2 linked regions of the Rattus norvegicus genome follow. The protein of the gene in region 2 binds, or shares a complex with, the protein of the main gene of each other region. Links are inferred from orthologs where the notes say so. Each region holds a gene or a part of one and is shown on either strand. Other genes may lie near its edges.

Evidence for each region. Proteins that work in one complex are often made in the same cells at the same time.
Region 1: Synrg (region 2) and Aftph share a complex: the UniProt entries of both Homo sapiens proteins name them as parts of the aftiphilin/p200/gamma-synergin complex. The link is inferred for Rattus norvegicus from reciprocal best matches to the Homo sapiens genes SYNRG and AFTPH.

Annotation. Positions count from the first base shown.
Region 1 is NC_086032.1:99,078,178-99,081,831, reverse strand, and holds part of Aftph (aftiphilin), read left to right. Parts: intron 1-2,688; coding exon 2,689-2,812; intron 2,813-3,654. UniProt on the Homo sapiens protein: Component of clathrin-coated vesicles.
Region 2 is NC_086028.1:69,374,505-69,378,158, reverse strand, and holds part of Synrg (synergin gamma), read right to left. Parts: coding exon 3,590-3,654; intron 2,732-3,589; coding exon 2,483-2,731; intron 1-2,482. UniProt on the Homo sapiens protein: Plays a role in endocytosis and/or membrane trafficking at the trans-Golgi network (TGN). May act by linking the adapter protein complex AP-1 to other proteins. Component of clathrin-coated vesicles.

The DNA.
Region 1 (3,654 bases), on a different chromosome or scaffold from region 2:
TGCTTATATTTTAAATTTGTTTAAAAAGCATTGATAGGAACACAAATAACCTGGCTGCTTAAAGAAGTGCTGAGAAGGCCTGATAATTGGGTTCAGTGTACAGCTGCAAGGTAATCAGTCTGGGAAGTTTAAGGCTGCCATGGATGGGAGCAGTGGTCCAGGGCTCTGCCCTGGGAAACCTTTAACTCTGGGTTTGCATCAGTATGCTCTGGCTGCTGTGGAAATTTGTTTACAGTAAATTTGCCTTGGCTTTCTATTGTTACTGGGTTTCATTAAAACGTCCCCCGGCTTCAGGTACCAAGTCCTTCTTTAGTGTTCAGCTTACTACTCGTTTGTCCTTTTTTAAACTTGTTTATGGGAAAGTCATGTTTTCTTAGCTTGCTGTTAACTATCGTGTGTGTGATTTTAGGAGGTTGGCATAGAATTTGGCTGGCTACGTTAATTGTGTAATCAAGCTGTGCCTCCGTAAGGATCTGTTTAAAAAAAACTTCCATTAAAAACTCTGTAGTTTATAGTAAATAATTGCCTTGTTTCTGAAAACGTTAACTGTAATTGTCACAGATCACAGTCATTGTTGGGTTGGGGCAGTTTACAGAGGGAGGGATGTTGTGTGGGATAGAATGGTGGTTTTCTTCTGTCATTGCCAGTGCTGCTGTTCTCAGTCTCCCGTGTAGCGCTTGGCAGTCTAATACGCATACACTGTTGCCACCGCTCAGGTGCCCTTGTTCTGCATGGTACACAGATCTCACCTGCAGTGCTGTAACTAACCTTACACAGTGGGAAAGAGAAGGTTTTGGTCCATTCGCTCTTTATATAGACATCTACAATTTCATCTATTTTAACTTTGGCCTATATGCTTATTGTAGAAAAACAGAAGTTTTTAAAGGATGTCCTGAAAGTGTACATGAATGAGCTAGTAAGACCTTGGGAGTCAGCGCACACCTTCTCCCTTGTTTTGGACTCAGTACCTGGAAGCTGGTTCCTGTAATATCTGAGGCCCGTCCGCGCTCACCAGAGGATTGGTTCAGAAACGAGAGAACTCTTCATGAGTTTATTATACCTTTTGTCTAATCTCATAGGCTGTTCTTAGAAAATAAACTTGAACCAAGTACAGTCGTGCACATTTGTAGTCCCAGTTGAGGCAGGAGGATCACCTAAATCTCAGGAGGTTGAGACCAGCAGAGCAGAGCAGCATGGTAATGCCGTGTCTCAAAGAAGAAAGAAGAATTAGAAGTCGGAGAGGCTGTTAAGCCTTTTTTGTAAACTGATGCTTAACTATAGCCCCCGCTTAGCTGTCTTTCTGTTCCCCTGGCTGACTGTCCTAACTGCAGGCTTCCAGATTAAAGTCAACTACACATGTGTAACAGATCCTGTACGTCAGCAGTGCTCTGAGCCACATTCTGGAAGTATTTTACCCACGCCACCTCTTACCTAAAGAACATGCAGTCAATTTTTAGTAATAATTTGATGCTTTAAATAATTGTTCATCTCTTTAGTCATGGCTAAGATAACCAAATTACCAAATCATTTTTTATACCAGAGACTTTATATTAATCTTCAAGTCTCTGACATGGAAAAAAATACTGCAGTCTTAAAAAAAATTTTTTTATAAGATCAGAGCAAGGTTCAAAATTAGGTTCATCAGCCAGTCTAAAAATTGAGGACGTTGAGCTGGAGAGAGCGGTTAAGAGCACTGGCCTCTCCTCCAAAGGACCTGGAAGCAATTCCCAGCACCCACATAGCAGCTTCTAACCGTCTTTAATTCCCATTCCAGGGGATCCACAAGCCTTTACACAGACGTGCACGTAAAAATAAATATTTTTTTAAAACGAGAACGTTGAAGGTTGGGTGTGGTAACTCATACCTGTAATCCCGACACTCAGGGATAATTCTCCTGCCGAGGCAGGAAAATTATGAGTCGAAGCCAGCATAGGCTACAGAGCAAGACCTTGTCTTAAAATAAGATAAAATAAAAATGTTGAGAATATCATAGCACGCTCATTCTATTTATAAACCCTGTGTGTCAGAAATGAATACAAAACTGAGTGCTGGAAATTCTTGAAGTATTTGAAAGGCATCAGCTACATATAACATTTATTTCAAAACGGTATTTTTATGTATTCCTTTTATAGATACTTCAAAGCCTACCATTTAATAAAGAAAACATGAGGTTGGGTAATTGGCTCAGTGGTTAAGAGCACTGGCTGCTCTTGCAAAAGACTTGGGTTCTATTCCAAACACCTACATGGTGGTTCACAACCGTCTGTGACTCCAATTCCAGGGACTCCTACACCCCCTTCTAGCCTCCTCAGGCACTAGGCATGTATAGATATGTATACATAAATGCAGACAGACACACGTAAAATAAAAATAGACACAGAGAGCTCAGCAGGTAAAGGTGCTTGCTGCCCACGTTGGTGACCTGAGTTCAATCCCGAAACCCTGTAAGGGCGGAAGGTGAGAACTAGCTGCATGGTTATCTGCCGTCCACCCACTTGGAGCACACGTGCCCGGTGCAGAACGCTTAGCAATGACTTCTCACATGCAGAAGGGCAGCACTTGCTATGACGATGACAGTGAGTGGTGCTTATGCAGACTCACCTGGATAGAGTATTATTGCTGTCACAGCTTGCCACTTGCTATGACCCGTGAAGCTTGCCCTCACTCACTGTCATTCTGTGCTGTAAGGTGTGGATCCAGAGTTGTATGAATTAACAACTGCTAAGCTGGAGACCTCCACCTCAAGCCTCAGAGTGACTGACGCATTTGCGAAGCTCATGTCTACAGTGGAAAAGACGAGCACGTCGACCAGGTAATGAACCGCAGCTTCACCCTAACTGTTTTCTGGTTTAAATGGCCACAAGCAAAGCGCGCAAGAGGTCGTGCTTGTGTGTTAAACCGGCTTTGTACCTTAAAGCCAGTGGATGGCAAAGCTGGAAAACATCACGTGGATGTTGAACGGTGAGCTTTCTTCGGAGAGACTGACAGGTGAAGTTTTCTTCTCCCCACCCCACAGAAGATGATTCTGATTAGTATTGATGCTGATGCCTCTGGGGAACATCCCTGTCCTTTCATAATTATGGAGAAAAGCGTTTTCCAGAACCAGGCTCAGTCTTCTGGTGCCACATAAGCTCCCGTGTTCACTTTGAAGCTATGACGGAGCCCTAAGATATTTTCATCTTCAGTACATTTGCTGCTGTGCACCTGACTGAGCTGTCGCTACCAAACTTACAGAAGCCTCTAGCGACGTCATCTCCTGCCTTCAGAGCCAGAGACAGGGAATGTCTCTTGGACATTCTGCTTAGGGTTTGACACAGTTAAGTAGCCCGTGCTTTGAGCCCACATTAAGCACAGAGAAGCCAGTTCTTAGTAGAAGGCAGTTGAGACAGGACACCACTAGTGCCAGGACAGGTGCTGATTGGTAAGCTGACTTCTCTGACCCCAGTCACCGTCATCCATCTGCGCCATCAGGAGGGATGTTTATGTCACTTGCCCACTTTGGGGATTTTAGAATTTCCTGTTGAATAACAGACACCATTTAGATTTATCTTTTAAAGTTAATTCTTTCATAAGGAACATCTTTTTCTATTTTTTTAACTTAAACTTGAACAGTTGCAGTCTCTTTGGGTTGTTAAGTTTGTTTTTGAGACAGGG
Region 2 (3,654 bases):
CTTCAGCCCCAGCCGACCAGAACCATAAACTGCTCACACAAAAGGCCCAGTAGAGTCTTTGCTTCCCTCTGAAACTTCACACGCCAGGCCTCCGTCGTCTGCACTACGCTCATCATTCTCATCTCCCAAGCTTCTGCATCATCGTTCATTTAGCTCTCAACACTCAATGGCTTTTCTGGCCCAAAGTTTCCACGTCCTTCTACAATCCTCCCCCAAAACATGATGAGGTCGGTCACCGCAATGCTCTGCTGTACTCCAGTACCAACTTGTCTTAGGCTTACTAGTGCTATGATGAAACACTGGACTAAGTCATTTGGAGAGGAGAGGGTTTATTGGGCCTACACTTCCACATCTGTTTATCACAGAAGGAAGACAGGACAAGAACTCAAGTTTAGGGCAGGAATGTGAAGGCAGGGGCTGATGCAGAGGCCACAGAGAAGTGCTGCTTACTGGCTTGCTCAGCCTGCTTTCTTATAGAATCCAGGACCACCAGCCCAGGGACAGCACCACCCACAATCACTAATTTAAAATATGCCCTACAGCTGGATCTTATGGAAGCATCTTCTCGATTGAGGCCTTTCAGGCAACTCCACCCCGTCAAAGGATATTTACACAGGGAAAACGAGATTGCCAAAGTAAATAACTCCTCTCCACACATCAACCTCAGAGACTATCATTCAATTGCTCAATTTAATTCCAACTGCCTAATTTCATAATCACGTGTGTGTTAGTGTATGCACACAGGGTCTGGTGCATATCAGACACATCCTAGAGCCCTACCACTGCTCACATACAGCTCCAGGCAAGAACGCAGCTGAGATACAACAACAGAGATGCCTGAGGCAAGAACCTGTCTCAAATTTTAAAGTGTTCTCTGGCACAAATGTAATGAAAGGACTGGCTTGAATAGCTAACCTAACATTTTTAAAGTATCTGGACTCTATTTGTCTGGTTGCTGACAGCAGTGTATGTGAACAGTCATGGCATGAGCCCCCATAACCAGTCCTACAGACACACGAAGCTTGTGAACAGTCAATGCATTCATAACCAGTTGTACACACACATGGAGCGAACACTGGCTTCCAGGTCACCACTCAGAGCAGCAGACTGCTCATGGACCATTTGCTTTATGGAACAAGCTCATGTTGCACTGCCCTGCACTTTAGGAATGTGACTGTGTGACAGCTCATCCTGCCATGCCCTGCTGACTTCCTAACCCTGCTAACTCAGCTGCCATCTCTGAGGTGCAGGTTTTCAAATAATTGTGCCAATGAACCTACAGGATTAGTCATTTTTTCTTATATGACATCATATATCTGTACATTAAAAATATTGGTTTGCTAATCCGAGAAGTGAATTTTTTGAGACAGGATATACCATGTAGCCCTGGCCGGCTTGGAACTCTATGTAAACCAGGCTGACCTCAAACTCGGAGATCTGCTTCTGACTTCCACCTGCTGAAATCAAGGTATGGACTACCTACCATGTCTGGTCTTAAATCTGTGTGTGTGCATGTACATGTGTGGTACATACGTGTGTGTGTGTGTGTGCGCATGTACATGTGTGGTACATACACGTGTGTGTGCATGTAAGTGTGTGGTACATACACGTGTGTGTGCATGTACGTGTGTGGTACATACATGTGTGTGCACGTACATGTGTGGTACATACGTGTGTGTGCATGTACGTGTTTGGTACATACATGTGTGTGCATGTACGTGTGTGGTGCATACATGTGTGTGCATGTACGTGTGTGGCACATACATGTGTGTGCATGTAAGTGTGTGGTACATACATGTGTGTGTGCATGTAAGTGTGTGGTACATACATGTGTGTGTGCATGTAAGTGTGTAGTATATACATGTGTGTGCATGTAAGTGTGTAGTATATACGTGTGTGTGCGCATGTAAGTGTGTAGTATATACATGTGTGTGTGCATGTATGTGTGTGGTACATACATGTGTGTGCATTTAAGTGTGTGGTACATACATGTGTGTGCATGTACGTGTGTGGTACATACATGTGCATATATGCATGCATGTGTGTGGTACATACGTGTGCGTGTGTGCATGTATGTGTGTGGTATATGCGTGTGTGTGTGCATGTATGTGTGTGGTATATGCGTGTGTGTCTGTGTGTGTGTGTGTGTAAAAGGACAGAGATTGACACTACGTATCTTCCTCAACTGCTTAGTTCTTAACAAACATTTTGTGTATTTAAAGAATAACTGAAAACAAAAACAAACAATTTTATATTATATTAATACTTAAAAATTATCTTATTTTTTGAAGAGGTGGGGTTACATGTAGATCTTGAGTAGAGTATCCTAGGTGAGAGCTCACAGATGAATCACACCTGTCTCCACATTGTTTAATTTCCATATCAAGTGCCTGCTATAATCCAGCAGACTGAATCTCTGAAGGAAAGCTCCCCACATGTACTTTCTGGAATGATCTGGCACACACAAAGCTTCTCCACTTACCTGGTTTGAGGGGTAGGCTGGCATGAAGCCACTGGAAGTTGGCGCTGCAGCTCCACCCACTGGTCCAACAAGGTTAATGCCCATGATGGGCTGTCCAAGGCTGAGGGGTATGGAGCCTGCGGGGCCAGAGGTCATCGCTGTTGGCTGGCTCACTGGGGTAGGCAGAGTCATAGGAAAGCCGCTTAAGGTAGGAATGGGAGCCGCAGGGAACTGGTTCAAAGTATCAGGGCTCATGGCAGGAACACCTCTCTATAGGGAACACCAGGAAAATGGAAACATTTTAAGCCAGCTGCAGACCATACTCAAAATCTGTGCAAGAGAGAGCTACAGGAAGCTTTTCTGTTGTCTCTCTTTCTTTGTCTGCTAGCAGGAGAACAGTATCGAGGACAATGCAGCAGGATCCTCTAGTGTTCTAACTATTAAAAATGTAATTATGCAAGGCCATCCTTTCATGCAGCAAATGTGGGCCTATTTTATCCATCCACTGTCTCCTCATTTAAAACACCCAACGCTAATACTTAGACATGGTCAGCACACATCAACTGTGACATTTTTTTGTCTGATAAGTTTGACTAATTTGCTAAAATCAAAGAACCTAAACTAATTTCAAAATATAAGAAAACTTGTTACCAACCTAAGTATACTTTAAGGAATTCTAAGTATGGGCAAAAATTGATTTCATCCATTATTTTCACTTTCTATTGCAGTGAAAAGACACCATGCCCACAGCAACTCTTTTTCTTTTCCTTTAAGATTTAGTATGTCTACAGAGCTCCGCCTGCATGTATGCCTGAAGGCCAGAAGAGGACCTGCACATGGTTGTGAGCCACCACATGGTTGCTGGGAACTGAACTCAGGACCTCTGGAAGAGCAGACGGTGCTCTTAACCGCTGAACCATCTCTCCAGCCCCTTATTTTCACTTTCAAACAAAGGGATAACTTGCTAGGATGTGCATTATATGGATTATATATTTTTGGAAAACTGTATCACAAAGCATCTAAATTTTAATGTACAGGGAAATCTACAAGGCTAGGGTGAAAAAGGACTCACACTCTTTCAGTCTATAGAAACAACACACTTGTTCTGACATCCGACACATAGTCTACCTGTGTTACTGCTACCATGGCGAGAACGGTGTAAAGCTCCTCCTTAGTGAGCTTGCCAGGCGTAG